Notamacropus eugenii: one gene and its partners. The protein of the gene in region 1 purifies or fractionates together with the protein of each later gene. This does not show direct contact. Links are inferred from orthologs where the notes say so. Each region holds a gene or a part of one and is shown in the gene's direction. Other genes may lie near its edges. The genes, in order: STRN, MAP4K4, CTTNBP2NL and CTTNBP2.

Region 1 (7,639 bases):
AGTGATATTCTGTAGTAAATGGCATGTTTGCAGTTTTGTAATTGTAAAAAATGCAAAGTCCCACTTCTTATTTGTTGCAGACAACATGTATACATGTAAATATATACAACATAAATACAAGTTAATTTTTAAGGAAAAAACACTAGCAGCTGGGGAGATCAGGAAAGGACTCCTCTAGGAAGTAGGATGAGTTGAGCTTTGAAGTAAACTAGGGATTCTAAAATGCTGAAGGGAGAAGAGTATATTCCAGGTGGGGGCAGGATATGAAATGTGTATGAGAAATGGCAAGAAAGCCAATTTGGCTGAATCACAAGAGTATATTAAGGGGAGAAATATATCAAAAATAAGAGTAGGTTGAAGTTAGGTTGTGAAAGGCTTTAAATGCAAGCTTATATTTGATCCTAGAGGTAAGAGAAAACCACTACAATTTATTGAAAAAGGAAGTGACATGGTTAGACATGCTTTAACATGCTTTCTTCTCTGTGTGGACTATTGGAGAGGAGAGAGATTGGATGCAGGGGGACCAATTAGGAGACTCTTGCAATAATCCAAGTAAAAGGTGGTGCAAGCCTGAATGAGAGTGATTGCTGTGAGTTGAAAGAAAGGGATAGATGTGAGAGATGGGTAAATACAATCACAAAATTTGGCAGCTGATTAGATATGCAGAGTAAAGGAGAATAATCAAGAAAAGCAGATGTGTCTACGTGACTGACAGAATTTAGGAAGAAGGATGAATATGGGGAGAAAAATAATGAGTTTTGTTGAGGTTATGTTGAGTTTTAGGTTCCTAGCAGACATCAGTTCAAAATGTCTAACAGGCAGTTGATGATGTAGGACTGGAGCTCAGGAGAGAGACTAGGCCTGGGTATATAAATCTGGGAGTTAATGGTGAAGAGATGATCATTGAATCTGTGGATTTGGTAAAAGGAGAAGAGGTTGCCTTTGGAGTGCAACCACAATTAGGGAGTAGGGTATAGATAATGTTTCAACAAAGAACACTGAGAAGAGGTAGCCAGACAGGTGGACAGAGAACTGAGAGAAAGGAATGTCACAAAAGCCCAGAGAAGAGGGAGTATTCAGGAGGGAAAAGTGGCCAATGGTGTCAGATGCTGCAGAGAAAAAAGCAGAGGTTTGAGAACAGGTCGTCAGATTTGTCAATTAAGATATCATTGGTAACTTTGTAGAAAGCAGTTTCAGTTGAAGCCAGATTGCGAGAGGTTGAGAAGTGAGTGAAAGGAGAGAATGAAATGAGAAGAGAAAGGGACCCAGGATAAAGTCGGGAGGCAACAGGTATAGAAAGCTTCTAGGAAGAAGCTTCTTCTCCCTGAAAGGTTGGAGGATGATAATATGAGTGAATTGTAGATTCAAATGAGCATTTTGGTTTTTTTCAAGCATGTCTATAGGAAAAGAGAATAGATCTTGAATAGAGAGATAAAAGGGAAATGCTTGTGGGAGTGAGATAATATGGCTTACAAATGAAACAACTCATTTATTATGGCATACAAATGAAGCAACTGATTTATTCCTAAATATATAAAATGAATAAAAGAATAGATATCAATATATACTACCACCATTTGTATGAATCCTGGTTCCCAAACATGATCTCTTTACTAAGCAGAGAAATGGAGGATGCAAAAACCATATTGATTTAGAACATCATTTATAACATAGAGGATGGTGGTAGAATATTGTGGCATAGTATCATATCAAAAAAGTGGGAATCAGTTGAGGGAAAAATCAGGTTTATGGAAAACTTCTTGAGAAGACTCAAGCCAAATCATCAAGAGCATTTAAGGACAAACAACTAGCTTATGAGGAATGGAAAATATCTATCAAGATTTCTATAATAAACTCTTTTCTATATCAGTGACAATGGAGTCACAACATTTAGATTCTGTTATTACAATCCCCTTTGCACTTTATAAAGAAATAGAAATGGCACTAAATACATAAAAAAGAAAAGTACAACTGAACTAAGAGCACCTAAGTGGCACAGTGGATAGAACTCTAGGTATAGAGTCAGTAAGACTCATCTTCCTAAATTCAAATCCAGCCTCAGACACTTCCCTAGCTGTGTTATCTCAGGCAAATCATGTAACTCCTGCTTGCTTAATTTTCCTTATGTATAAAAATAGGAACAAGAATGTCTATCAGAATTGTTGTGAGGATCAACTGAGATAAAAATTGTAAAGTGCTTAGAGAAGTGCCTGGGAAAGAGGAGGTGCTATATAAATGTTAGCTGTTATTATTTTATGAAATAGACCAAGTAATACACAAGGAGGTCTATTATGAGGATGTTGAGGGATCAATTCTCAAGATTTCTGAGAGAAAGACACTAAAGACTTGAAAAAAATCTGGCACCTTTTTATGCTGTTTTAAACTCTAGTCTAAATCCTAGTCTTTTAGTTTTTGCTGGGTTAGTCCCAAAAGATCATTCCTTGCCTCTCACTCAGAACATTAGTGTTGAGCTGGCTGCAAATGGGATGTCAGGGTGCCTAGTTTCCAATCCCTTCACCTAAAATGGAGAACAAGTTCAGAGGCCTAGGACCAAGACCCATTTTAATGAGTTACATGTTGGTCTTACTGAGGAGGTTCAAGCCCTTTTCCTTTAATAATAATAGCTAGGATTTATATCATCTACATCAAGCATCTTACACTGACAAAGTGCTATTGTTATCCCTGTTTTTGCAGTTCAGGAAACTGAGGCTAACAGATTAAGTGACTTCTCCAAGGTCACACAGCTAATTGTCTGAAGCTGGATCTGTACTCAGGACTGATTTGTAATCAGCGGAGTCCAACCAAAAGCAGCTCTTCTGAAACATTGTCAGAAGAGAGTAGGCTGAGGCTGACTCAGGTCATTTTGGGTACCCCAGTTCTGCCTACAGAGACAACTGAAAGACTTCTCTTAACCATTAATTAGAAGACTGGAACCATTTACAGAGTGTCTATATATGCTCCACAGTCTCTCTAAGCCACTTCCATTTCATATTATCTTGGAATCAGGATGATTCCAGGAGCAAGTTCTCCAATCTCTTTCTCATGGGGAGATTCCAGCTAGCCAAACATCAAATGTACTCTACCAATGGACCATTCATGGAAGAAATTTAATTTTATTGGATAATATTCCCTCCTTACTATGTGCATGGGCCTTTACTAGGGCTTTGGAAGGAGTTGTCAGAAGAGGTGATCACCAAATTAGGAGTTGGAACAAACAGTGATACTGGGCTAGCTTTCCAGATGACTGGAGCAGGAGTGAAGCCCTCTAATCTTGGCAGAAAGGAAGAAAGTGATTTCCTAAGTTCATACAGGTTTTCAGCTGAAAGGGGCCCTTAGGAGATCATCTATTCTGCCATCTTTCCAGTATTACAAAAATTTCAGTTGCGAGTTCTAGATGTGTAGATTCAGACTTAGGACCTACATGAATGACTTTGACAAGTCAATCACTTAGGTCTTCAGTTTTCTCAACTATCAAATACGGGAGCTGACCTGGAAATTCTCTTCTACATCCCAATCTAAGATCTTATGAATTAGCCCAGCAGTTCTCAAATGTTTTTATAATTAGTATTACTTTACACTCTTAGAAATGATTGAGGACCACCCTCCTCTTTGGGGTTCATGTGGTTTATATCTACTGATATTAACCATGATAGAAATTGTGTCTTATTATGAAACTAAAATGTTATCATGAAAATAGCTTTGATCTCGATTATCCCCTGAAAGGATCTCGCTGACCCCAACTGGTGAGAGGACTTAGAAAGCCTGGGTGGGCTTGGGGTGTGGGAAGAGAACGGGAATTAAGGAAAATCCTGCCAAGGTTTGGAGGGAAGTACTCCTTCAGGTCAGTGGAGGCTTCAGAGACAACATAAAAAGATCAGGCCGGGAATGGAAAACAAAACAAAACTCGTGACCACCATTTTCGTGACTTTAACTGAAATTGACGCAGCAGGGTAGAGAGGGACCGGTCCTGGGACCAATTCCCAAGACGAACTTTCGCCTAGAAGGAGGACCAGCCAGCCAGTATAACCCCGGGAAACGACAGCTCGTGGGGGAAGAGCCGAGTCGTCGATCCTTTGGTGCGTAGAGGGATGTGATATGTTTGTCTCCGCGGATCTGCGTGGGTGCATGTGCGCGACCGTGCGAGAGAGAGCGCTGTCACAGACGACTTCCTTGGGGTGAGGGTGCGTGTGCTACTTAGTTAGAGACGGAGACCGAGCGAGCGCAGAGCCCGCGAACTTCCGTGGGTGTGGGTATGTGCAAGAGAGCGCGGCCCAAGAACTTCCTTCCGTGCGTGTCGGTGTGTGTCCCGAGAAGCGGCCCGCACCCGGCTCTGCCAGGCTGAGGGGCGGGAAGGAGGACTAAGAGGTCTCCGCCACAGCTAGGCTCAGACAGCTGGAGTCTGCCAGCGCTAGTTTCTAAAGAATCCTTCCAGGCCCCCTAGCCCCTTTCCCAACTCCCGCCGATTAACGCCGCCACCCCGAGACTACATTTCCCAGCAAGCCCTCGGGGCGCGCGCGCTCTGCAATTGACCCATTTCCCGGCCCGTCAGCAGCTCGGGGGGCCGGCCAAGCGCCCGGGCAGCCGCTCCCTGCTGACTCGGAGTGTGGGCGGGGAGAGGAGGGCGGAGGGAAGAGGAGGAGGCGCCGTTGCTGCCGTTTGCCTCGGCGGCTGCGAGAGCCGGCACCGGTCCGCAGCAGGCTGCCGCCACGGCCGCCATGGACGAGCAGGCGGGGCCCGGCGTCTTCTTCAGCAACAGCCACCCGGCGGCAGCCGCGGGCGTCAAGGGGCTCGGGCCCTTGGCAGAAGCGGCGGCCGCGGGCGACGGGGCGGCTGCGGCGGCGACGGGGGCGGCCCGAGCCCAGTACAGCCTCCCAGGGATCCTGCACTTCCTGCAGCACGAGTGGGCCCGCTTCGAGGTGGAGCGCGCCCAGTGGGAGGTGGAGCGGGCGGAGCTGCAGGTAGAGACCCTCCCGGCCCGGCCCTCCTCCTCCCGCCTCTTTCCTCCCTCCTTCCTCCCTCCTCGCCCCGCCCCTGCCGCTTCCTCCCAGCCTCCCGCCTGTCCCCTCCCCCTTCCCTCGGTTCCGCCCACCCCGCCGCGAGAGCCCCTTCACCTCGCCCCACCCACTCTGCCTCTACCTGCTCTAGTCCCCGGCCGCCCCTCCCGTGTAATGGAATGAAATGATGTTTGTGGAGCGCTGGGCGCGGCGCCTGGACGGAGGAGGCCCTTGGGAAATGCCTCTTCCCTGCCCTGCCCTGCCCCCCCCCCCCCCCCAAAGCTGCTCCCCCGTCGTCTCCTGGTCCTGCTCGGAGCTCGGGTCTTTTCCTCCTTAGTTGAAGATTGATAAGCAGGGTCCCGGACCGCTCCACTTCCGAGAGTCATGCCCCGCGTCGGGGGGCCAGAGCCAGAGAGCTCCCCGCAGGGTTGAGGGGTCAGCGCTTGGCCAGACGTGGTGTTTTCCTGTAGATTCTCTTCTCGGTGAAAGAAAGGAAATGAGAGGACAGATGAAGTTGTATGGCCAGAGGTGGGAAACGGAAAAGGGAAAAAATAGTATCTTCAGAAACAGAAAATTCCTATATATTCGAATCTCTGCCTTATGCCGCAGTGCGTTTCACCCACTGATTTTAGATCCGAGATGTCTGAATGAATGGAGGGTCAGAAGTCAAGTTCTTTACTTAAGGGAAACTGATTTGTTAAGATTTAAAAACAAAAAAAACCCCCACACCACAGATTCTCTGGGGGGAAACAAACAGAAACCTCGACCAAATATAAAAACTTTTTGTCAAGAGGTTTTTTTCCAGATTGAATTTTTCTTTGAAGGAAGTTGAGGTCTGTTAAAGGGAGTCACATTAGTGATAGGCTGTACAACGCCTTGTTTTGAGATAAGATATGTCCGCTCCAGACTGGGTGTTCACAGGCTTTGCACAGTTAATCCCTTCACCGTGCCTTAAGTCCTGAGATAGAGCGATCTTTAATAACTAAATGTTCAGTCCTGTGGTAGGCACTGTCCTGGGGATACAGAGAAAGGGGAAGAAAAGAGGGGGGGAGGTTCTGGCTCTCAAGGAACTCATCTTCTAGTAGGGGAAACACCATGCAGATAATTATATAGAAGGTACCATCTAAATGAAAAGTAACTCAGCAGGGAAGACCGGAGCAGAGGGGGGATGAGAAAGGCCTCTTGCAGAAGGTGGGATTGGGTTCTCTATGTGCCTGCTATGTCTTGAGTATAGCCTGTGGTTCCTTGATATACAGTTTACCTACTTACGTGGGAAAAGCTGAATAGTACTGTGGAAAGAGGACAAATTTGGAGGGCACAAAACTTGTGTGTTTGAATCCTGCCCCCTTTACTTCCTGTCTTGACATGGGCAAGTCACAGCTTCTCTGAGCCTCATTTCCTCATCTAGAAAACAGGGAGTGTGTGAGGATTAAATGATCTCTTGTTTTCATTGCAGCTCTAAATCTATGATCCAACAGGTATGTCCTGTTTCCTTGATAGAATATAAGTTCCTTGAATGCAGATCGTCTCATTTTTTTATTTTGTATCAGTATTGCCTAGCCCAGTATAGATATTTAGTAAATGATGAATAAATACTTGTTGATTGGATACTCTGGAAACAAGGATATCACCAACTGAATATCACCTTTTTTTAAAAATGGCAACTTTTCCTTGTTAGTCTCCAATATAAGTGGTTTGTTCAAGTGCTCCCAATTACTGCTTCTAAACAATCTCATTCCCCCACCCACAAAAAAAACCGGTTAAACAAAGCAACTTAAGTGATAATAACTTGTTTCTATAACTTTTATTTGGGTATTTGCATTTTAATTGAACGTAATTGAAGAAGAACTGCTGTACTTTAGCTGGAACTTTGATTGTACCATGTTGATGCTTTCACCATTTGATATGGCTTTTTTTTTTTTTTTTTGGTCTTCCTTATCTTTCCTGTTCCCTCTCCTTCCCTCCACTTACTGACTAGATCCTAACTACTGAACAGCCTGGAAGCTTTGTAAAGCTCAGAGTTCCCATGCAAGTCCTGTGGCATGTAATATTTAAAAAAACCTATGGATTTCTAAGTTTTGAAAAGGCTTTGTTTAACTTTACAGAAATCACAGGGTGGGTGGAAGCATACCGTGGGGCTTATCTTTTTAGACTTTAGCTTCTCGTATGGGGACTAGATGATCTTCATAATTCCTTTTAATTAATATTTGTTAATAAAAGACCTCAAGTTTTGGACTTGGCGAGTTGAAAAAGCATGAAAGGATATATTTTGTAAACATTATTTAGTTTAATTTTCAAAAGTTTATAAGAACATATTGTGTTTCAAGTGGGTCAGCTAGATAGCATAGTGGATAGTCAGGAAGACCAGAGTTCAAATCTTGCCTCAGATACCACTTAGTGACCCTGGCCAAGTCACTTAACCCCTGCCTAAAACTAGAGAAGGAAAAGGCAAACTACTCCAGTATCTTTGCCAAGAATAGATACTTGGTCCACAGGGTCATGAAGAGTTGGACACGACTGAACAACACCAACCAAAAAATGTTTTAAGCTCTAAGCCTGGTATAGAAGACACAATAATATAATACAATAAACATTTATCAAGTGCTTACTATATGCTGGGCACTGTGCCCACTGGGCATACAAAA
Region 2 (7,364 bases), on another chromosome or scaffold:
GAGAGGGACCTTACTGTTGGTAAACTTTAAAACACTATAAAAATGTCACCAATAATAATAACTATAATTCTGTATAAGAATATGAGGCGAACACTAAACACTTTAATGAGTCATGTTTCCTGACTTTGAAGTTCATTTCTTTTTCCATTATTCCAACATGGGTAAGGAGATGAGTTTCTTCTTTATCTCTTACCCTTTTTTCCTCTCCCCCTTCACCTCTGCCTCACAATCCAAATCAATCTAATTTAATCCAATCTAATCCACTCCAATGCAAGAAAAATTTATTAAATTTATTATTTATTATTATTTATTAAACACCCCACTATAAGCAAAATATTGGAGGTAAAAAGACAAAACAAAAAAGCAATCTTTGCTTTTAAGAAACTTATTTGCTTATACAACATGAAAACAATTGACTATTTCACCTCTCATTCCAATTAATTCCCAAATCTTCTACCTTTCCACACCCTTTCAAACTAGCGCAAATCTCCAAAAGACCCTAACCTCAGATAGTCTCTCTCTTATCTCCACAGATCTACTTCCCTCCACCCTACCCTTGCTTAATCCCTTCATAGATTGAAAATATATTTTGACTATGGAACTCCTACCATTTCTGCAATAAAGGAAAAATTAGGAAAAAAGTCAAGTAACATGTGTAGATGTAGACTGCTGGCCTAATTGGATACTATTGTGTTATTGACAGTGCATTGTTCTGAATGGGTGAAAATTTATTGCCTGTCTGTCCTTCTGCAAGTTGTGAGGAGGTACATTTACATTTGACTGCTGGCTAAACTCATTGGGGCCATCTCCTAGACCATCAAACTTCTGACTATTACACCTAGGATATTTATTTTCCCTTAAACTTTACTAATTCTCAGAATTTCTGGGTTTTTTTCCCCAGTCCTGTATGAGCCTGAGTAGGTCACTCAATGTGTCATTTTCACATCTCATTTTCTTCATCTGGTCCTATAAGGGCATCTAACCTTATCTCCAACAATAAGCCTTCATCTCTAGGGAAAAAAAAAGCTAGTCTCCCTATCAAAGTCCTCAGCCTAGTTTTCATTTATACTATTTCCCTTGCATAAGATAACCATCTGGCACTTAATTATTTTAGTGCCTTGCATTGTTAGTTATATTTTTATGTATTCTATATTTTACGTCTTTCACAGTGAAAAGAGTATGAAAATAAGAAGATCTGGGTTTTCATTCCAATCTGTCACTTATTACCTAGGTCAGTATGTGACCATAGGCAATTGGTTTAACCTGTCCTATCTTTATCTCTAAAATGGGGATAAATACACTCTTATCAACTCCCTCCCTAAATTCTGATAAGGAAAGAACTTTTTAAATTATTAGGAGTTATAGAAATGCGAGTTATTCCTTTCTTCCCAGCTGTATTATAAACTCCAGGAAAAGGACCCTGACTTATTACACACCCACAGGGCCTAGCACAATGCACTTCACTCTGTGGTTTTTTTGGTAACTGTTTTACTATTTCAGGAAACGTCGGGCATGCTTTATCTCATTTCCTCCTCTGTAGCCTTGTCCTTCACTACTGCCACACTGCTGCCAAACACAGGGTACATTTTCCTTTCCTTTTCCAGTTCTGTAACCTTTAACTATGAGCAAATTAAATTCTGCCGCTCTCCCAGAATGGGATACACCCATTTATTTCTCTATGATTCTACTTATTATCCCTGCCAACCAAAATAGTCCTCCTGTATTGTCTGCCTTTGTTGTTGTTCAGTTGTGACCCCATTTAGGGTTTTCTCAGCAAAGATGATAGTGTGGTTTGCCATTTCCTTCTCTAGCTTGTTTTACGGATGAGAAAACTGAGGCAAACTTGCCCTGGGTCACACAGCTAGTCTAAGAGCAGATTTGAACTCAGGAAGAGATGTCTTCCGGACTCCAGGACCAGAAAGCATTTACAGCCATTGTGCCACTTAGTCTCCCTCTATTAGCATGTAAACTCTTGGAGGACAGGGGCTAGTCTTTGATTTTTTCCTTTCTATCCACAGCAATGAGTACAATACTTGGCACATATTAAGTACTTAATTAATTCATTTTTCATTCATTCATAAATACTTGTCGGTTAATTCCTACACACAAGGAGTTTACAATTAAAATCAAACTGACAGACAAAGCATGTACATGCCAGTTAGTTGTAAAAAGGCAAAAAAGTGGTAAATGACAAGTCCAGTTCTATGAGACTTTGGAAGGGGCCATTCTAGTCCACAGTGGTCAAAAAAGACTTCTAGGAGATAGGATTTGAGCTAAGCCTTGACAGAGTCCAGACAGAGGAGTAAAGAGGTCTGTTATCGGAAGTAAGGGAGGAGAGCGTGGCCTAGAGATGAAGAAATTTGAAATTATGGTCAAAGGAAGGTGACAGATCTGTTGGCCATATGGAGTATTCTTGGTGGCAGGCAGTGGGAGATCAAGTTGAACAAGTCGGTTAGAGGACCAGATTATAGATGGTTTGGGATGACAAGCTAAGGAGTTTATCCTGTACCCTGTGGGCTACTCAATGTTTTTGAGCAAAGGAATATTACAAGGAAAAACTGCCTAGGAGAGTACAAGCATATGGCAGACACTCAATAAATTCTTGTTTAATTGGACTGAATTGCCTAACTTCCAAGTGTACTGGTAAGGTTACCTTCAGAGCCAGTTAAAAGACTTTCTGAGAAGTTCCGACTCCCTACTCTGGCCACAAAAATATTAAGGTTCACACTAATAAGGCATCACAAAGAAAAGTTAGAATAAATACATCGCGGGTCTATTTTGATCGTTGCTACTTTACTAGAAAATCCTGTGATGAAATAAACTTAAGGAAAACAATTGAGATAGAACAATATTTAGGAACCATGAGCGGAGGTCTGAGAAGAAATAAGCTCATTTCTCCAGAAGGGGAAAGTGGGAAAAAGAGAGGGTGGATTTTGCTCTCAGAAGATTCTCCAATCCTTATAGAGAACACCAGCAGGCCCAGCCAGCCTCAGTGGGACACACCCACCGCCCGAGGTGTTGGAGGGGGAAGGAAGGGGTTAATCCCGTTCTTGTTCTTTCCTGGGGAGCCCAAGTGTTTTCTTTACCGTTAGGGATTTCTTGTTTGTTGCGTTTCTTTGGGGGTGCTGCTGCTCATTTCCAGTGTTCAAAGCCTTAAGCTCGGTGCCCCGGAGCACATGGTCCGGACCATGTCAATTTCCTTTCTCTGACAATTACAGAGCTCTCCTGATTTTCACACTGGTTTTCTCTGGGATCTTCCCGTCTGGGAACACAACGCACACAGACCCTCTGCCTTCGTTATTATTTCTGTAGTCGGCCTTTAAACCCCCCACCGCAGCCTAGCATTCTTCTCCAGGTCCGGCCAGGCTGGAGAGAGGCCGGGCACGCCTCGGCGGCCCGGGACTCACTTCTCTATTGTTCCCCGCCACACCCCTGCTGAATATGGATACATCCGAGCAAGTAGCGACTCCCAGACCGACCCGGAGAAAGGAACTGCTCAGGATTTTTCCTTCTAGTTTACCCAGAAGTGCTTTGGGGCGTGTGAGTGTGTGTGTGTGTGTTTCCGCTGGCTTTTCCTGTTGGAGAAGGAAAGGGGGAGCTGTTTTCTCTCTCTTCTCATAATCTAGTTTTTTGTATCCTTTCTCTCCTCCTCTTTCTCCTCCTCCTTTTTCTCCTCCTCCTCCTGGGTTATCTTTGTCTGGCTCCCTTGGTCCCTGAACTCTCCCCAGCGCCGCAGCTCCGAGTCCTTGGCCGCTGTGGATGTGGGTGCCGTGCCCTCCGCTGCACCGGCGGCACCGGGAGCAGCAGCGGCGGGGGGGCTAGCGCCGACAGGCAGCCATCGGCGCTGCCGGGAGCCGAGGCTCGCCCAGGCCGGAGGGGAGCCGCCGTCCGAGGCCCTCCACCTTCCTCGCCCGTTTGTCTGGGAGGAGGAGGGGGGTGCAGATGCGAGCGCGGCCGCTGGGCGTGGAGGAGGCTGAGGCTTAAGCCGGGAGTGGGGGCAGAGCCTGGGGGCCGTTGCTGCCACCTCAACATGGTGTAAACCCGCCTCCGACGCCCCACGCTCCCAGTTTCCTCTCTCTTCCTACACACACACACACACACACACACACACACACACGCACACTGATAGACAGACGGACAACTCAGATCGGGGGAAATAAAGGCTCATCCCCGGGCAGCGAGCTATCCGGCGGCGGCAGCAGCGGCGACCGGACCGGAGCAGCAGCAGCAGCGGCGGCCGGACCGAGCAGCCGGAGGAAGATCCGAGCAGCAGCAGCGGCAGTCGCCTCAGCGCCGCCTCCCAATGAGGAGCAGCCTTGGGCTGGCGGGGCTCGTCTCAGTGTGAGGAGCTGCTGCCATCGACCATTAGCCCTTTATAGAAACAATTCCAATTGAATTTCAAAAGCATATATCTATTTTTTGCAAAAAGAGAAGATGGCGAACGACTCGCCTGCAAAAAGTCTGGTGGACATAGACCTCTCCTCGTTGCGGGTGAGTGCCAGCGACAATGAAGCCGCCCCCCCCCCCCCTAATCCTCCCGTCTCCAGCAGGGTCCCCCCTCGCCTGTGCTCTCTGCACCCTCACTCCTTTCACACACACCCCCCCCCCCCCCGCGCGCCCCGTGCCCAGCCCTCGCGGGTCCAGCCGTGTGCGTGTGCTTGGGGCTGGGGTGGGGGTGCCGCCTCTGCCGGCCTCCCCTTCCTGCCCCGCTCTGGGTGGTGCTGCCGGGGCGGGGGTGGGGGGGGGGAGAGTTGGAGGCTGCTGGGTTGATGCTTTTCCTTTGTTTGCATGTATTGGCATGTGCGTGGAAAAATTAGGGCGCAACAGCTGCACCCAACATCCTCCCGGCTCTAGGCACCGTTGTGGGTTTTTTTGCAAGAGCCCCCCCCCCTTCCCCTCCATCCACCCTCTACGTACACTTGGACATAAAGCAAGTTCTTTATTCCTTTGCTTTAAAGGCCAAACTAACTTCTTTTGTATGCCTCTCATCTTTCAACTCCCCTCCTAAAAAAATAAAAACCAAACCCTCCCTTCTTTCCTCTCCAGGATCCTGCTGGGATTTTTGAGCTGGTGGAAGTAGTTGGCAATGGCACTTATGGACAAGTCTATAAGGTTGGTGTCTGAGCCCTCTTTGTTTCCCGTGACATTTTGGGGGAGGGCAGGAGGCGACTTGGCTGCACCAATTGGTCAAGTAAAGTTTGGTGGGTTTCTGTATTAGTGCTTTATTTTCAGCCCCCTCCCCCCAAATATCAGGTTTACTGTCTCACTGGCCTTAAAGGACCTCATTTTCTGACTTTCAGATAGGGAAAGAAACTATTCTCTCAGGCATGTACTTTACTTGAATAAGAACGGGGGTGGGGGGGGGTGGAAGAACGGAGGGAAATGTTTTCATAAGGCAATTTCATTTTTTTTTTTTTAAGACTACCCAGTTGAGTTTGTGTAGCTTAATTAAAATTCAGGAATGTTGTAATAGGCAGGCATTGCTTACATTCATTTTAAAGCACTGCCTTGGCCTTCCTGAAATTGTCATCTTGTCTCCATGTTTGAACCTCTTCCAAGTGCTCAAGGTGCAGTTTGGTATTAACTGATGCTACTTTCTAGTTTAGCTTGGTGTACATCATGCAGTGTACTGACTGAAGGCTACCTTGATTGGAAGTGGCCTGGGGTGGGGCTGAATGGGGACAGGGACCACTGTCCAGATTTAGGCAACAAAAGCAGGAAGGATTATAGTGTGAACATTATAAAATCTGAATTCCAGGAAGAACCTGTTTGACAAGTGCATAATTAAAGCAGAAATCGGGGAGAGTGAGAAGTGTTTCACACTCATCCCAAGTCTTATTTTGTTTTTTTTTTTTAAATGAACAGTGAATGCGACAGACAGGTCTTGAGACTGCATGACTGTGCAATGAGTAGCAGCTACCTGGTGTGACTAACAGTTATCGTATATTTTAACTAATACGTGGTCTTAAAGAATAAGCTGTAGCAAATAGTAGTAGCTTGTTTTATATAGCACTATAAGGATTTGCTAAGCACTTTCCACAAAACTCTGTTAGGTAGGTAATGCATTTATTGGTATAGGATCATAGAACCTGAGCCAGATCCAGTCCAACCCCCCTCATTTTAAAATGAGCAAAGAAACTCACAGATATTAAGGGGCTTGTCCAAACCTCACATGTAAGTCTTAGAACAGGGATTGATACCTAGGTCTTCTGACTCTGGGACCAGTGCTCTACTAAACTATACTACTTGAGAAATAGGAACAAAGCCTTGAAAACTGAAAACAAAAGGTTACATTCTCCTTTCCAGTAGTTTTTTTAATCACTTATATGACAATCCATTCTTGTAAAAAAAAAAGTTGTATGGCTATTTTCTTCTAGTGAACAAATGTATTTGAACAGGAACATTTTTCGTTATATAAATATTGAAACTTGAGTTTTTGTACTTAAGGTTAGAATCACCACCATGTGCATTACTTTGTCTTATTTTAAAGATAGTTTGGACATTTAGAATCTTAAAAGCTTAGAGTATTAGAGGTGGGATTCTTCAGGTCAACCCCCTCATTTCCAAGTGACTAATCATTTTTTCTTCTTTACATATGTTTCTATCACCTGAGTTCTCTTCAGCCATGTCCAGTACTGTGATTGTGAGCCCTCTGCAGTTAACACATTAATGGATATTTGTGAATGGTCTCCATTCGTTGTGTTCACTCATCTAGGCCTTGGTAGGGCAATAGGAGGACTGTTGACTACTGTAATCTGCTTTCCATCTAGAAACAAATTTGCCTAATTCAGTTTAGAAGTTTTGGGAAAGTGTATTTTTCCTAGTGTGTTGTAACTTCCGAAGGCCCAGATGACTGGCTTAAATGGACTTAACGACATACAGAGTGAACACTCTTTTCAGGTCAAATCTAAGTTGTGAATGGACACTTCTAGATGATTTTGCAAAAGCATGTTGTTTATCTGTTTATCCAGTTCAGTTTTGTTTTTTAGAGAGTGGGGTTAGGGAGTAGGGGACCTTATGGGAGCTTATTTCTGTTAAAGAAAGCAGACATCAGCCTGGTTTTAAAATAGAACTCAATGAAAGAGAGTAGATTAACATGAACTACAGGTAGGTCATGTGGGTCTGCAGAAGCAAGGTACTTGTTAAAATCATCTGATGCTGGGTGAGGCCTTTTATTTCAACCGTTAGAAATAAGGTTTAGACATTTATTGTTACTAAAACTCTTTAGGTTGCAAGTAATTTGAATTTTTTGCCCTCCAGATTCCTTACTTGTCTCTGTCTCCCTCTCTTTTCTCCTAGCTCCCTTTGGATTTTGAAACAAATTGGTTGAATATTACATTTGGGCTGTATTTGGAATGTTGTGG
Region 3 (7,961 bases), on another chromosome or scaffold:
CTTTGTAATTTGTAAATCTGGAAGAAGTAAGTGATAGGAAAATACTTTGAAAAAGTAAGTATCCCACCTTAAGGTGTTATTAAGATACTATCTGTTTGTAGGGCATGTGCTCATTTGCATTTGTTTCTAAATTTCCTTATAAAGTGCTTTTGTGGGGTCATATTACTCCCATAAGACTGGGTACTCCCTAAGGGCCCAAGTGCTTTCTGCTTCTTTTTTATTCCCCTCTAAAGCATTTAAAGCCTGGGCTCTGCCAACTGTAGACTTTGTTAGAAGATAGGGTGTACTATCCCCACCCACTCACTATCCCCTGGAGTAATAAATTAAAAGTAGGAGTAACCAGAAAACACCAAACAGAGCTGATATCATTCATGTTGGGGTTCTCCCACACAAGTCCAGGAGGAGACAGGAAGGGAACTCATTGGAAGTATGGGAAGACTTTGCTTGTTGTTACAAAGGAAACAAGTCACAGAACAGAACTCCCACTCCCGCTTTCAGTGGAGCAAAGGTTGGGTGGAGAGGTCGATGGCAACGAGTGTGGGGAGGAAAGACTGAATCACCGGGCTGGCTCTCCTGGTGATTCAGGAATAGGCAGAAAATAGCCAGGGCTTCTCCCCATTGTCAAGGAATGTGGTACTTCCTCATTGCATTGCAGAGCAAATGGGAGGAGAAGGAAATGAAACTATTTGTGGACCTATATCTATACCAGCACCTAGCCTATACAAGGTATCCCCAAAGTCTTTTAAGTTTTAAAAACTTAAAACTGCACGAAAACTTTTGGAAAAACCTGCATTTGAACATTTCAATCATTTTCTTCCCCCTCTTTTTCCTACTATAAGAATCCTTAAGTCAGGATCCATAACATTCATTTTTATATTCCTAGCAGCCTCTAGTATAGTAACTGAGGTTCCAGTCCCCTCCCTGGACCCTCGAATCAGAATGCAAATAGCAGACTAAAGGGCAGAGAAGGGTGGTCTCTGATTCTGTCATCCTTCCCTTACCAATTGTGCTATATCCAGAAGCATCCAAGAATTAGATAATCCATGAATGAATTTGCTGTCCTTCATATACAAGGTGACACCATTAGGCCACCACAAACAAGTTGGCTGTCATACTGAATAGTTTTTTTCTGTTTAGTCCTGTTAGGTTTACACTATACTTTCTTACTCTGTCCCTCTTGTGATTATTAATATAGCGGTGAAACAGATTGGATGGTGTAATCTTCCATCATGGAATCCTGAGATTTTGACCTCCATTGTACTCATAAAAGCAATTTCACTCACGACATCTTTACTCTATCACTCAGTGTTGGTCTTCCAAGCACCAGCAGGGATTGTGCTCCAAGCAGTCCATAAAAACGGAGGAAACCCTTGGTAAGGTGTCTTGAATTATTTGAAGGGCTGATACTATAGAACGGGGATTAGATTTTGGAGTATATCTAAGGTCCTTTTGATCTACATATCCCTTATGCTTGGCCTGGGTGTGGGGGGTAGGAGAAAGAGTGATAGAAGTTTGGGAGAGACAGATTTAAAAGTATAAAAATTTATCATAAAAATAGTTGAGAGAGAAGGGATAGTACAGATCATCTTATCCAATTCTCTCATTTTAAAAGTGAAGAAAGTAAGAGTCATCCTGGATCCTCTCTCTCTCTCTTTCACACATACACACACACACACACACACACACACACACACACACACACACACACACCAATCTGTTGCCAAGGCAACATTTTTACCTTTTTTTACCTTTTGGATTTTACCTTTGCAACATCTCTCAAATTCACCCCCTTGTCTCACTGTTATTTAGCTGGGGAGGGTTCAGTCATGTCCAACTCTTTACGACCCCATTTAGGGTTTTCTTGACAAAGATACTGTGACTGATTTGTCATTTCCTTCTCCAGTTTATTTTACAGACGAAGAAACTAAGGCAAACAGGGAAAAGTGACTTGCCCAAGGTTACATAGCTAGTAAGTGTCAGAGGCTGAATTTGAATTCCTTAAAAGGAGTCTTCCTGACTCTAGGTACTCTATCCACTTCATCACCTAACCACACCTAGACTATTGAAGTTGGTTGGTTGTTGTCCTTGGTTCTCCACGAGGACCAAAATGACATTACTATGATAAACTCAAGTTACAGTGTGTCCAACTGTGGCTGATCAGACCCATACGAGCTCAGAATGCTCTACCACAGGTTGGGCACAGATAGTCCATGTGAACATTTGGGGTAGATACTCCAAATTTGCACATTCTACATTTACTTTGTGCTGTCTCAATTCTGCTTTGCTCATAGAGCACATCACCCTTTCTGATGTGGGCATGCCATGCTGAGCAGTCCTGTGCCAGTCCCATAATCAAATCTAAAGTTCTTGAGAGAGACCTTGAGAGCATCCTTGTATCACTTCTTCTGACCACCATGTGATCACCTGCCCCATGTGAGTTCTCCATAAAACAGTCGCAAATGTACATTTTGCATTCAAACAACGTGGCCAGCCCATAGGAGTTACACACTCTGAAGCATAGTTTGAATACTTGGCAGTTCAGCTCAAGCAAGGACTTCAGCATCTGATACCTTATCCTGCCAGGTGATCCTCAGAATCTTCCTAAGACAGTTCAAATGGAAATGATTCCGTTTCCTGGCATGGTACTGGTAGGCTGTCCATTTTTCCCAGGCATACAACAATGAGGTCAGCACAACAGCTCTGTAGACCTTCAGCTTGGAAGTCAGTCCAATACCTCTTCTCTCCCAAACTTTTCTTTGGAGCCTCCCAAACACTGAGTTAGTTTTGGCAATGTGTGCGTCAACCCCATTGTCAATGTGTACATCCCTGGAAAGTACACTACCAAGGTAAGTGAACTTATCCACAGCATTCAAAGCTTCTCCATTTGTATAGATGGTGTGCTGATGGCTGATAGAGCACCTGTGTTTTCTTGGTGTTAATTAGGCCACTATTGAAACAGCCCACTGGTGAATATGTCTGCTTCAAGTCTCTCCCTGCTCCAATTCATCCTCAATTCATCCACTAAAGTGGATTTCCTAAAATGCAACTCCAATCATGCCACATCCCCTACTCAATTAACTCCAATGGCTCCCTATCACCTCCAGGATCTATCTGGCATTCAAAGCCCTTTATAATCTACCCTCCTGCCCTCCCCACCCCACACAGTCTTCTTTGTCTTTCCAGTCTTCTTTGTCTTTCCAGTCTACTTGTATCTTACAATTCCTCATACTTTCCATACTCTACGTGCAGTTCTTCTGAGAGATACTCCATCTCTTATCTCTGAGCATTGTCACTTGCTGTCCCCCATCCCTGATGTGATCTCCCTTTTCACTTCTGCCTCCAGGCTTCCCTGACTTCCTTCAAGTCCTAGCTAAAATCCTACTTTGTACTGGAAGCCTTCCAAATTCCTCTTAAATCTAGTGTTTTCCCTCTATTGGTTAATTCTTGTTTATCATAGGATATGTGTGTATATGTATTACACATACACATGTGAGCATGTATATACATATATGACATGTGCATATATCTTGTTTTTGCATAGTTGTTTGCATTAGATTGAGTTCCATATTGTGGTGATTAAAAAGTTTGAGAAGCATAGTTTCTGGGTAATTTAATCATTTTATTAATAAGGTCAGCAAGTTTTTAATAAAAGGATAGTCCTTTGGCTGTCTCTCTTAGACCAAAGATGTTGTTTGACCTTTGTTCTGAAAGAGAACCAAGACATCAGAAAGATGATGCCATGACTTGCAAGTGAATTGATTTGAGAGGGAAGTCTGTGCAAAGTCACCAGCCTCACTCTCTCCTCCTCAGATATCTGGATCCATTGGCAAGATATAGATCAGGACCAGTGCAGATGGCCCCCTTGGAGCAAAAACAATCATGGCAGTGCGCTCGCAGTTCATATACCCTTCAAAGAAGAGGTGTTCAATGGGGGGCTGAGAGTGACATCATGTTACCCTTGGAGAGAGAAACTATCTCCAAACTCAGTTCACCCGCAGCTTTGGGCTATCTAGACCAAAGGATCTACTTCCACCCAAGTTTGAGTAGAACACAATGGGCTCCCCCACCTTAGATTAAATTCCAAGCAAGTGGGGTAAGATCTGACCAAGATTAATTCAATCTCATCAGTAATGTCCTTCAAGAGACGGAACTTGAAATCAGGACTTTGGAAGATGGAAGGCTCTGAATCTTCCCAAGATATTGGTTATGTCTACTTCCCCACTTACGTACATACGGGCATATGGACATATGTCCACGTTTGCATATCTATATTTGGGTTTCACATAGTTGCTTGCACGTTGTCACCCTCCTGAGCTCCTTGAGGGTAGGATTATTTTTTTGGCCTTTGTATCCCCATAGCACATGGTGGGATCCATGTCTATTGACAGCGCTAAACCTTGGGAGGTACCAAAAAAAAAAAAATCAGTCTTTGCCTTCAAGGCATTTGCATTCTATGGGACCATCCCACTGCACACTCAGTTTCCACCACCCTCCCACTGCCAACACGTGGGGTCTGGCTGCAGGCAAGGCCAAGGTCCAGACCGGAAGGGCGATCTGCTGTCCCCCTTGGCCGTTCCCAAGGCATCTCCGCTAGGGCAGCCAAGGACAAAGAAGAGTCTCGTTCTTAAAGTGAGTACCAGAAGGAGATCACAAATGAGAGTATTAGTGAGCTGGGCGATGGAATCCGAATCCTAAAGCCCAAGCCCCGCGGGGCACAACTGCAAGCCGGGAACATCATCCCGGGAAAGAACGCCAAGTCCTTCCCGCTCCGTCGAGGACCAGGCGAAGGCATGCACGCCCCCTGCCGCGGCCCGGCGAGCGGCGATGGAGCCCAGCAGGATGGGGCGCGAGAGCCGAGCCGCGCGCCAGGCTGGGAGGAGAGCTCTTCCCGCCGGAAGTGACGCGAGCTCAATCCCTGCCCGGCTCTCCCCAAACAAAAGGGATCTTGGGGCCCGGGGAGGAGCCTGAATGACATTGGAGAAGCCCCGCCTCCGCCCGGCGGGCATTGGTCAGCGAGCCGCGAGGCTGAGGTGACAATTGGTCCGGGAGGCTGTCAAGGCACGGACCCGGCGGGGGGAGGGAAGGAGGCGGAGGGGAGGCGAGGGACCGTGGATGGGAGGCGGGAGGCGGAGGTGGCGGGGAGCGGAGCCCGAAGCGCCGGGGAAGAGGTAGGAGCCACTGGGCCGGGCACTTGGGGATTGCGGGGAGACCGGGGTCTCGAGAGAAAGGTGAGGGTGGGACTGCCGGCCTCCCCCCACCCCGGTCCCTAGCACCCCATCCCCTGAGGGGGCGGGGCCCTCCTCCTTCTCTGCCCGCGCCCCCCATTCCTAGAGGAGGCGGCGCCCCAACCTTTGAGGGGATCCCCGGGCCCGCCCCAGCTCCTGTCCAGCCGCAGACCCCTTCCCCCGCTCCCCATCCACCCCCTACGGGGAGCCCTCCCCTCTGCACCCCTCTCTGGAAGAGGGCTTCCCCGCATCCCCGCCCCTCGCCCCTCTCAGCCCCGACAGTCCCCTCCCCCCAGCCCGCCACCTGCCCCAACTCGGTCCCTCCCTCCCTGTCCCCTCCCCATTTCGGTCGGTGCCCTCACACCCACCTGCGTCCGTAAATGAAAAAGACCTCCCCATCCCAATGCCAGCCCGGCAGTCGGCCCCCCGGACCTCGCTTCTCCCTCGAGCCGAAAGCCCTGGTTTTCCTCCCCTTCCAGCCCGGGGAGGAAGCCCATGTAGCTGGCCTGGGCAAAGGGAGTCTCCCGGGCTTTAGAGCTGCCCCTCCCTCCTCCCGTCCCCGCTTTGGGGGAGCCCAGGTCGGTCCTTAGGCTGCGGTCTTGTGGGGTTTGCTGCCTTTGATCTCCACCTCCCTACTCCCTCCACGAATTCCCTGGGGAATTCGAGGTTCCTCCTCCTTGTTGGGGCCTCGCCGCTGCCCAAGTTGGCTAATTGACGGACTTGACCGAGTGTGTAGAATACAAACAGGCAGCGGATAACTTAGGATCCTTCGTGGGGACGCGCTGTAGGAATGTGAATAAGGGACCCAAGGTTGGCCGGTTGCTCTGGGATACTTGGATCCCCTTGAAAGGTGTACATCTTGAAACAAAAGGCAGGAAGTGTTTCAAGAAAATCCTGGTCCAGTGGTGGGAGGGTTTATGATTAATCTGGTTTAATGGCCTTTGGTTCCTTTCTTCTCGATCCACACCCACTATTAGATGCTGCAGATCTTTTCTATAGTTGAAAATATAGTAAGGTAAACGATGTAGTTTGGTTCACCTGCAGAATCGCAGTACGTTGAACAAGGTAAACTGCATATGCCACTAAGGTAAAGGATATTCTGAGTGTACACTCCAGAAAGCATTTATTAAGCGCCTACTCTATGCCGATAACCACTGAGCTAAGCAGTTAACACATATTTCATTTGATCCTCGCAACAATCCGGGAGGGAGGTGCTACATTATTACAGTTGAGGAAAGGGAGGAGGACAGCGATGGAGTGATTTGCTTAGGTTCACTGCTAGTGTCTGCTAGAGGATTTTCTGAATTTTAGGTCTTCCGGATCAAATTCAGCACTGTGCCGCTTGCCCAACCCTTATTTCTTTCCATATTCTTAGAGATCTTGTAGTACAATCTCTTCATTTTACAGAGTGGTGCAGTGACCTCCCGCTAAAGTAAGGTAGTCTGAGAGGCAGAGACAAGACTCAATCTCAGGCCTTCTGACTACTAGTCCAGTGCTTTCCGCTCACTGTAATTTATGGTATGTGGTTAGTATTTTGGAATTTCCATTAGCATGAGTGCCATTGGACTGTCAGTGGACATCCAATAGGGTAACACTTTGCATGTGTAACAATTCATCATACATTTTAACGTTACTTCCTTAATTTTCACTTGTAAGTTACCCTTAATGTTGGTGTAGTGTTATGACAAAGTGATTACTTAGGACCAGTCACAGAGGGTGTACATTTCCCGTAGATATTATTATTGCTTTTACTTCTAAGTCAAATCAATAAGCATCATTAAATACCTATTATTTGCTAATAATAGGGCAGCTACATGGTAGGCTAGGCCTACAGTGATGAAGACTTGAGTTCAAATTTGACCTCAGATACTTACTAGCTGGGTGTTAAGTAACTGGACAAGTCACTTAAGCTTTGTCTGCCTCAGTTTCCTCTTCTGTAAAATGAGCTGAGAAAGAAAATGGCAAGCCATACCACTATCTTTGCCAAGAAAACATTAAATAAAGTCTCGAAGAGCAGGACACTACTGAACAACATGTGCTATAATAATAATAGGTAACAATTCTATGGGACCTTAAGGTTGGCAAAGCACTTTACAGATGTTATCTCATTTGACCCTCACTGCACTCTAGTGAAATAGGTGCTATTATTATCCCCATTTCCAGGTGAGGAAACAGAGGCACTAAGAGCTTAAGTGACTTGCCCCAGGTTATACAGCCAACTGTGCAAAGTGGAGGGGATACTGAGAAAGTCAATTCCAATTACAAAGTACATTTTAAACTTCCCCAGGGTAATGATTTGTGAGTTGTAGATTTGGAGCCTTCAATCCTTCTACAGAGATCTATTTAAAGATTGTTCTCAAAAATCATCAGAAAGAGCAAAAAAGATCTGAGGCTGGTTGGAAGCACTTGGAGAGTTGTTTACTATGTACATAGAGAAGTATATGGAGAGATTAATACATGGGCGCCTCAACTAGAGCTACAGAAACTCAAAGGGAATGATCAGGCTCATCAAGATGCAGAACAAAAAAAGATGACAGACATAAAGCCAAAGAAATGAATTGCCAAGGCCCATCACGCTATTGGATTATTTGGCAGAGTAAATAAAAACTGGCATTTTGTATGTCTTGGTCATCATTACAGCACCTGTTTGGTCTTGTTCATCTCAGAGAAAGACTGAGAACCTGTCACCTTGGTGTAGACCTACCAAGATAACTCTTTGATAAGATGAGGCCTATC
Region 4 (7,346 bases), on another chromosome or scaffold:
AAACCACCTGTGGATAATCAATGGTTGACCATTATGAAATTATGAGATGTTATAAAAATGAAAGTAGGGGAAGGAACTTTATTTTTTTCCACTACCAGAATATGTATATGTATATTAATTCCAAGTGCTTTGGGTTTTGCTCTTATAAAGCAGATACAAGAAGCTCAGGTCTCAGATGCTTTCTTATTTAGTGTTCATGAGAAAACGAGTGGGGCTCTATCATGTCAGATGCCAGGGAACAGAGAGGAATGACAGTGATCTGGTACTTTATACATTTTATTACTAAAACTTTGATGAGGTAGCCTGAGTTGATTTGTTAATCAGTAATTTTGTCCTTCAACAAGCACAAAGTCTGAGTAAAACATGGTTTGCTCTATAGAGCTAATAACACCTCCCCTCCCCCAATTTAGTGTAGTAGAGACCACAATGATTACAATCTTCTTTATGGAGGGAGGTAATCTTTTCTGAGATCAGTGGAGAGTCTTTATTTCAGTATAAAATATTGGGAATCCTAACGGCTTTATCATATGGAACTATCTAGGTTGTTCAGCTTATTTAGTTGGAGAATAATGCCAATTAGGCCAAGGTCATGGGTTCAAGGAAAGAAAACAAAAAAATTCCTCAGTCACAGACTGAATTGTTGACTCCAGCCTGTCATCACATAGGTCACAAGGAGGACTGGTTCAATAGAAACTTATCACTACTACAAAAACAAATCCAAATAACAAATCCCAGTCATGTTGGATGCACATACAGGGGAGATTAGTTGGTTCTCCAGTATGATAAATAAAATTCATGATCTTTTCATTTTAATGTTAAATGTAACCGATTTAAAAATAAGATTCATTCTTATTCATTGCCTTCTCCTCCCCCTCCATCTTTGCCCTGCTATCTTTCCAAACTTGCCAATGGAAAATTTACTTCTTTAACATTGGGATGAGTTTTCTATTTAAGTATTTAATGAAGCTTCAGAAGATTTAATTTACATAACCGGTCAGTGTTTCTTTTGATTCAGTGCCACCTCACATTAATGGAAGGTGTGCTTTGTGCAAAGACTCTGAGAAAGGGTTAATTTTCAGTCTCCACACGAGCTGATTCTCAGAAGAGAGTTTAAACTAGCTAGTCCTACTGGTGATGCTGCACTAACTAGGCCATTTTAGTAAAAGGACTTAATTTATAGTGGTCTGACAATTGAACGAGCAAAGCAAAATCCTTTAAATCTCAAGAACAGGAAGGTTAAAGCAGGGCAAAAAAAAAGTTGTCAATTAACCAGTGTACAAGTGGGATTTTTAGAAGTGAAATTACCTTTATTTGTAAGTTCTCTCCTCTCCTTTGATCAAGTTAGGGCTCTTGAACTTTCATTCTAGGGCTAATTCTGTTTTTATAGCCTTAATGCTAATGATTCTGATTCATGACACTGAACATTTTCATTGGGGTCACCAAAGAACCCACAAATGAACCCACAAACGTTTAATCTCAATAACAACAGCATAAACTCCTCAGATGGTACTTCCTGAAGAAATCATGTTACAACATTAAATTATTTCTAGTTCTTAACTCCTCCCTGAAGGTTTTCCATTTCAGGAGTGAGATAGTTAACTCTGGATTATAATCCAACAGCAATACAAGAAAATTGACTGCTTTGTTTTGCAAGCAAATGTTTCCTGAAAAGAAAGAGGAAACTTCTTTCATTTCTCTTAATTCCAAGTTCTTCAGTAATATAACTTTTACTTATTAGGTACTGTTGTATTATCTTGTCGGCAGAGTTTGTATTCTAGGGGAAGGCATCAATTTCAGAGGAATATTTCTTTTTCTTGAGAAACAGGGATGGTAAATCCAAAGAGCTAATGCCTCAAAGAAAAATAAAAAACTTGTATTTATTCAAGAATTAATTATGCCTCAATCTCTTCGCTGAGAAAGATCACTTGACTGATCGTTAACCTGAAATTTGGTTTGAAAATCTTCCAGAAGGTTGAAATTAAAGAGTTAACACTTTTTTAGGCTATGAATCAATTCCAGTTCAAGACCCTACAGGAGAGATTTTCCCTGCCCTGGTTTGTGTTAGATTTGGGCCCAATTTGTAAATTTAGTGAGTAGAGTGTGAAGAACCTATAATTAGAAGTCCCAATATGGATATGTACCTGTCTAAAAAAGGAATATTGGTCCCAGTTAGTCAGAGCCCAGGGTTGGAAATTATAATCTAATGATCTCTTAGAATTTCAAGTCTATTTTTTCCTAAGGAGTCAATAAATGCTAGTCCATTGCTACTTTACTGAAACACAGTTTAGATGCTTGGATTTGATTTCATGTTTTCAACACATTTTTAGGATATCTAGTAATTCTGACCATATGGTCCTGATAAAGGGATAGATTTGTAGGACATGGTAGTTGGCAGGAAAGGGCATGAACTGAATCAGATGGGGGGGGCAAAAGAGTATGGAGCAAACTAATATTATGCAAGATCCCTTGTGAATTATATAGAAAAAAGTGATCTTTTAAAAAATATTTTATAAATTTGTATTAGAAAAATCTTATAAAAATGATGTCCCCCTCCCCCCATTGTTAGTATTTCAGACTACAAAGTTAATTCCTTTTATTTTTTTTTTCAGGGCTAATCATTTAGTGATCAGAATGGAGAGACCAATGCCTGGCACAAGATGGAGCTTCATATATGTCTGTTAATTGATTGGTGGACTGGAATACTAAAAAGACACACTATGATCCTCAGGGCAAGATCAATAGGAGTACAGTCAGAGGCTAAATCTCTAAGACCACAAAGGTTGAGATGGCTCAGTCGGTACAAAGCAGAACTAGGATTAGAATCCAGATTTTCTGACTCCGAATTTAGCGCTTTTCCCACAACATCACACTTCCTCTAAAATGTTTAAGAAGTGAGGTAGACCAGTATCTTGTCCCCATGAGAGGACTCTTTGGCTAGGGCTAGAATCACCCGCATCAACAAAAAATTAACATTCATACAACACTGTAAGGTTTAGAAAGCTAATTATCGCATTTTCTATTTAACCAGCACGGACGGTCACACCCTACAATAGTATTATCCCCATTCTACACTTGGAGAAATAGAGACCAAGTAACTACAAATAATACCCTAACAGACACTAGTAAGTGTCTGAGGCAGAACCAGAAAGCTGATGCTCTTGGCATCAAATCTCTACCCAATGCATAATGACAGAAATGGGAAAGACTTTAGAGGGAATTTTTAGATGAGGAAACAGATCTAGGGAAGTACTGGTCCAAGGACACATAGTTTCAAAGTTCGGTTTGAAACACGAGTCTCTTGACTCTGAGCCCAGTGCGCTGTCGGAAGCTGTGTCTAAAGTCTAAGTGATGAAGTGGGATGGGCAGTAGAGGATGGCTGGCTAATCAATGCAGGGGGGAAGCCTCCTGGATATAAAGTCTAAGAACCATGGTTCAAATTCTTCATTTACAGCCCATGACCTTGAACGCGTCACTGCATCTCTGGGCCCTCCTTCTGGATCTGTAGCTTTAAATCACGGTACTATGAATAGGAGACCAGGAGAGAAAATTTCGGTTTAGAATTGGTGGCCCTTGGGAGGAGGGAAAGAGTCGATCCCTTTGAGAGATGGGAGGTTTGACAAGTGACTTTAGCCGAAGGGATAAAAGGAAATTTCCGAAGATGAAAACAAAGCCTTGTCTTTGGGGTAGTGCCGGGCTGGGAAGGGAAGGCGATTACTCCTGACCTCGGTCAGAGTCAGGTTTGGGAGCCCTGAGATCGAGTGTTACCGCTGCGCCGCTGTCCCGTAGGGGGTCCTGTCAGCTTCTGCCCGGTGCCTCAGACTCCCCATCTGCCTCGGGGACAGACCCACGACCTAGAGCCCGGCTTATTCCTAGTCCGTTTCCCTGCAAAGAGAAAGGAGTGAGGGTGTGCTTTGGAAAGACTTGGGCTGTCTTTCAAACTGAGGAGGCGGGTGTACGATCAAGGTCACCCCCCTCTCCAGAGACCCTTCCACCGGGATGCCTGGCGGCGTGGGTTCCTGCAGCCGGAAAGAAGGGAGGCTCGCAGCGCGAGAAAGCGGGGGTGCCCGCCTGCACAGTGCCGCGGGCCCCTCCCTGGCACCCGGGCGCCGCGCTGGGCTGGGCTCCAGCGCACAGCGGGTTAAGGCGCAGCGGGGGCGGGCAGGCAAGGGGAGGAGTGTACCGTGCTTTGCGGGCCGGGGGTGCGGAGCTGGGAGGTGCGCAGAGCGCGGCGCTCCCGACTCCTTCCTCTCCTCTGGGTTAGTCTGTGTGCCCGGCTCTCCGGCGCGCAGGGGGTTAAGCGCCTCCCGTGCAGAGCGAGGGGGCCGAGCTGGGGAGCTGCAGCTCGGTGCTCGCATTCAGATCCGCTAGAGCAGGAAGATGGCGACGGACGGGGCGAACTGCGAGCCCGACTTCTCCCGCCACCCGGAGGACCCGGCGGGAGCCCCGGCAGCGGCGGCGGTAACCGAGCTCCTGGGGCGCGCGCGTTGCAGGCGGTGGTTCGGGGTTCTGGGGCTTAAGGTGGCGGGTACCGCGATCTCCTGGGCTCTGCAACCTTTTTCCCTCCCGGGAATACCTTTCGTCCCCACGCCACACCCCTGCGACTGGAGGGGTGGGGCGGGAGGTGGCCGAGGGCTGCTCCCGACCTTCCCTCGCAGCTGGAAAGCGCCGGGTCCTTTCCTCCTGCCTTCCTCGGCGGGGACTCCCCCCGGGGCACCTCTCCGGAGCCCGCCCCTCTAGCCGCCCTCACCCTTTCCCTCAGCTTACTCTCCTCGGTCCCACCCTCTTTGCACGCCCTCCTCCTCTTCTCCCCCAACCCTTCCCAGTCACCCCAACCCCTGCTGGTTTGGCCGAGGCTGAATTGTGGTGTGTAGCAGCGAACTTGACCCCCTATTGTTTGCATCTCTGCTGAGCGCGTGTTTGTGTGAGTGTGTGTGTGTGTGTGTGTGTGTGTGTGTGTGTGTGTGTGTGTGCGCAGGGGCGAGCCTTCGAGCTGGGCGCTTGTCACTGGCCAGCGATCTCGGAGATTCGGGGAAGGGGAAGAGGATGATGTCTGGTTAGGTGTAGGACAGGTGTGCAGAAGCCTATTGTGTGTTTGAGGATGCTTGCAGATGCCAGTGGGGAAAGTCACCACAGAAATCCACGGGTGCATTGGGCTCGGGGCTGCCAGTGACCGGGCATTGGCACTGCCTTTGACTCCTTGAAACCCCTCCTCACCTCTTCCCATTCCCCCTTTTAGGGTTGTACTGACAGAAGCTGGGGGTGAAGGGGGGGAGAGAAACAGCGACCAACGGAGACTGAGACAGAGACAGGTTCAAGACGAGGTTTTGTAGTTAAATCGCCTTTCTCCCCCCCCCCCCCCCCCCCCATATGCCCCGTGGTACCTGTCCTTCTCCTCCCCCGCCTTCATCTTTGTACCTTGTGGGTGGAAATCAGAGCAGGTGACAAGCCCCTACTGTTGAATAGAGCTGAACTCCACGTAATGGGTGGAAAATGTTTTCAGTATTTAAGGAAACAGCCTGGCTGTTTAAAGCCGCGTGGAGCCTGTTTAAAAAAGAAGGGGGAGAGGGGGGCCGCAGCTCTGCCTGCCTGCCCTTGGCCCTTCTCTTACTTCAGTTATCCAGTGTGGGGTTCTGATGAAGTGAAGGACATCAGAATTTCTGTTAACTCTTCTGTCTTGTACCATACACTTCCTTCTTGATTCTTACTGCTTAAACTGAGCTACATTTCAGTCAAAAGCAGGGGACAGGGCCAAGAGTAAACAGATACAATCTTTTCAACTTTCCCTAGCTAGCCTGCTTAATGTTATTTCCCTCCCTTAGAACCTTACCACTGGTGTAGGGAGAGAAGAAGGAAGGGGTGGGTGGGGGTGAGGGTAACAGGGACCAGGGATGGAGTGCCTCCATGGCCCTAACAAGAACTGAAAGGAGAAATATACAAGAGAAGGGACGATTTAGAAGAGAGCAGTCGGAGAGCTATTGATTTCTACTTCTGCAACTGCTAGATTTGGGTTTCTAGACTTTTAGAAGAATCCCTGTATTGACGTAGGAAATTTGTTTAAAAAGGCATTAAGATTGCCAATGAAATAGTCCAATTTATGATGTGGAAAGAAAACCAGTAGCCGCATGTGAAACACAATCGAGACTGCTTTTAAGCCAGAAAGCAATTGTTTTACTGAAAATGACCAGGAATCTTCCGGTGTGATGATGGATAAGGTAAAGTAGTGAAGGTGAAGATTTTTTTGATCTCCTTGCGTACTTAGAATAGGCTTCTTTGTTATGACTCTGAGGTCTTTAATCATCTACTGAAAGTAAAGCCAAACATAAACACTTGATTATGGACTCTATCTGATTGATATATTAGTTTAGGCCATAAATTCAGATGGTGATGGTTAGGTTGATTTTTCATGATGTTGTTGCTAGTTCTTTTTTTTTATTGTTTAATAATTCACAAAATCCCAGGAGTGGCTTGTGTGTATGTATGTGTGTGAACGTACAATTAGTTTGAGGTTTAATCTTGAGACTAGCCAGAGAAAATCTTAACCTGCTTTTTATTTCCAAAGATTCCTTTAGATTAGATATATTTTGGTGAGATTAATCATTTAGCCTTTTACAACTTTTTTTAAGTAACCCTTTTTTTAATATCTGGGAAAGCTTTTTTTTCTTAAAAATGTTTTTTTAAGATTTGTTTACTCATTATGTCAGCCACTCGCCATTGTCAGTTTAGTTGATGGCCTGAAGGCTAATTTTAAATTAAAGAGGAGCTGGAGAGGTGATATTTTCACACAAATGCAATTTATCACCCAGTATTTAAAAGCAAGAGATATTTCACACTCCTCCATATTCCTGGCTGATTGAGTCCTTTTTGCTACGTTTTAAATTCTGTATATTTTGGAAAGAATGGCTCTTTATATCTTTTTTAAACCCAGTTTCGTTTTATTTAAAATTGGGTGTGTATTTCTTTTGCTAATGATGACTTAAGTGATCCTTAAAAGCAAATTAAGTTATTTTTTGGAAGTTGGGTGTTTTTTTTCTGAAAGTTGATCTATTTGGATGGTTGCCTGGAAACAAGTTGAATTTATAGTTTTTCAGTTTAATATGATTTCCAGGGGAGTGTTTTTAATTCAGGTTGTGAAAGTTTTGTTTAGCTATTTAAATCCTAAAAACCTAGCCAGTGCAATGAAAGGGATGGTAACGATTAAGACTGCCAGTATTATTGGTGCTATCATATCAGTTATCAAGTGCCGTCAACCATCCCAGGAGTCCAGTGGTGTTTTCAATTCCTTAGCCAAATATTGTTATTCTGGGAATTCATATTATCATTCCACAGTGGAAATAACTCCCAATGTA

The links.
Region 2: the proteins of STRN (region 1) and MAP4K4 purify together in Homo sapiens (affinity purification with mass spectrometry; 4 studies listed by BioGRID and IntAct, with this or other methods). This does not show direct contact. The link is inferred for Notamacropus eugenii from reciprocal best matches to the Homo sapiens genes STRN and MAP4K4.
Region 3: the proteins of STRN (region 1) and CTTNBP2NL purify together in Homo sapiens (affinity purification with mass spectrometry; 5 studies listed by BioGRID and IntAct, with this or other methods). This does not show direct contact. The link is inferred for Notamacropus eugenii from reciprocal best matches to the Homo sapiens genes STRN and CTTNBP2NL.
Region 4: the proteins of STRN (region 1) and CTTNBP2 purify together in Homo sapiens (affinity purification with mass spectrometry; 3 studies listed by BioGRID and IntAct, with this or other methods). This does not show direct contact. The link is inferred for Notamacropus eugenii from reciprocal best matches to the Homo sapiens genes STRN and CTTNBP2.

The regions. Positions count from the first base shown.
Region 1 is NC_092872.1:541,646,664-541,654,302, reverse strand, and holds the start of STRN (striatin), read left to right. Parts: upstream 1-4,624; 5' UTR 4,625-4,715; coding exon 4,716-4,958; intron 4,959-7,639. UniProt on the Homo sapiens protein: Calmodulin-binding scaffolding protein which is the center of the striatin-interacting phosphatase and kinase (STRIPAK) complexes.
Region 2 is NC_092877.1:173,756,267-173,763,630, reverse strand, and holds the start of MAP4K4 (mitogen-activated protein kinase kinase kinase kinase 4), read left to right. Parts: upstream 1-4,346; 5' UTR 4,347-4,434; coding exon 4,435-4,491; intron 4,492-5,046; coding exon 5,047-5,112; intron 5,113-7,364.
Region 3 is NC_092873.1:291,455,179-291,463,139, forward strand, and holds the start of CTTNBP2NL (CTTNBP2 N-terminal-like protein), read left to right. Parts: upstream 1-4,946; 5' UTR 4,947-5,030; intron 5,031-5,038; exon of another isoform or gene 5,039-5,168; intron 5,169-7,961. UniProt on the Homo sapiens protein: Regulates lamellipodial actin dynamics in a CTTN-dependent manner. Associates with core striatin-interacting phosphatase and kinase (STRIPAK) complex to form CTTNBP2NL-STRIPAK complexes.
Region 4 is NC_092874.1:134,964,186-134,971,531, forward strand, and holds the start of CTTNBP2 (cortactin-binding protein 2), read left to right. Parts: upstream 1-4,327; 5' UTR 4,328-4,377; coding exon 4,378-4,458; intron 4,459-7,346. UniProt on the Homo sapiens protein: Regulates the dendritic spine distribution of CTTN/cortactin in hippocampal neurons, and thus controls dendritic spinogenesis and dendritic spine maintenance.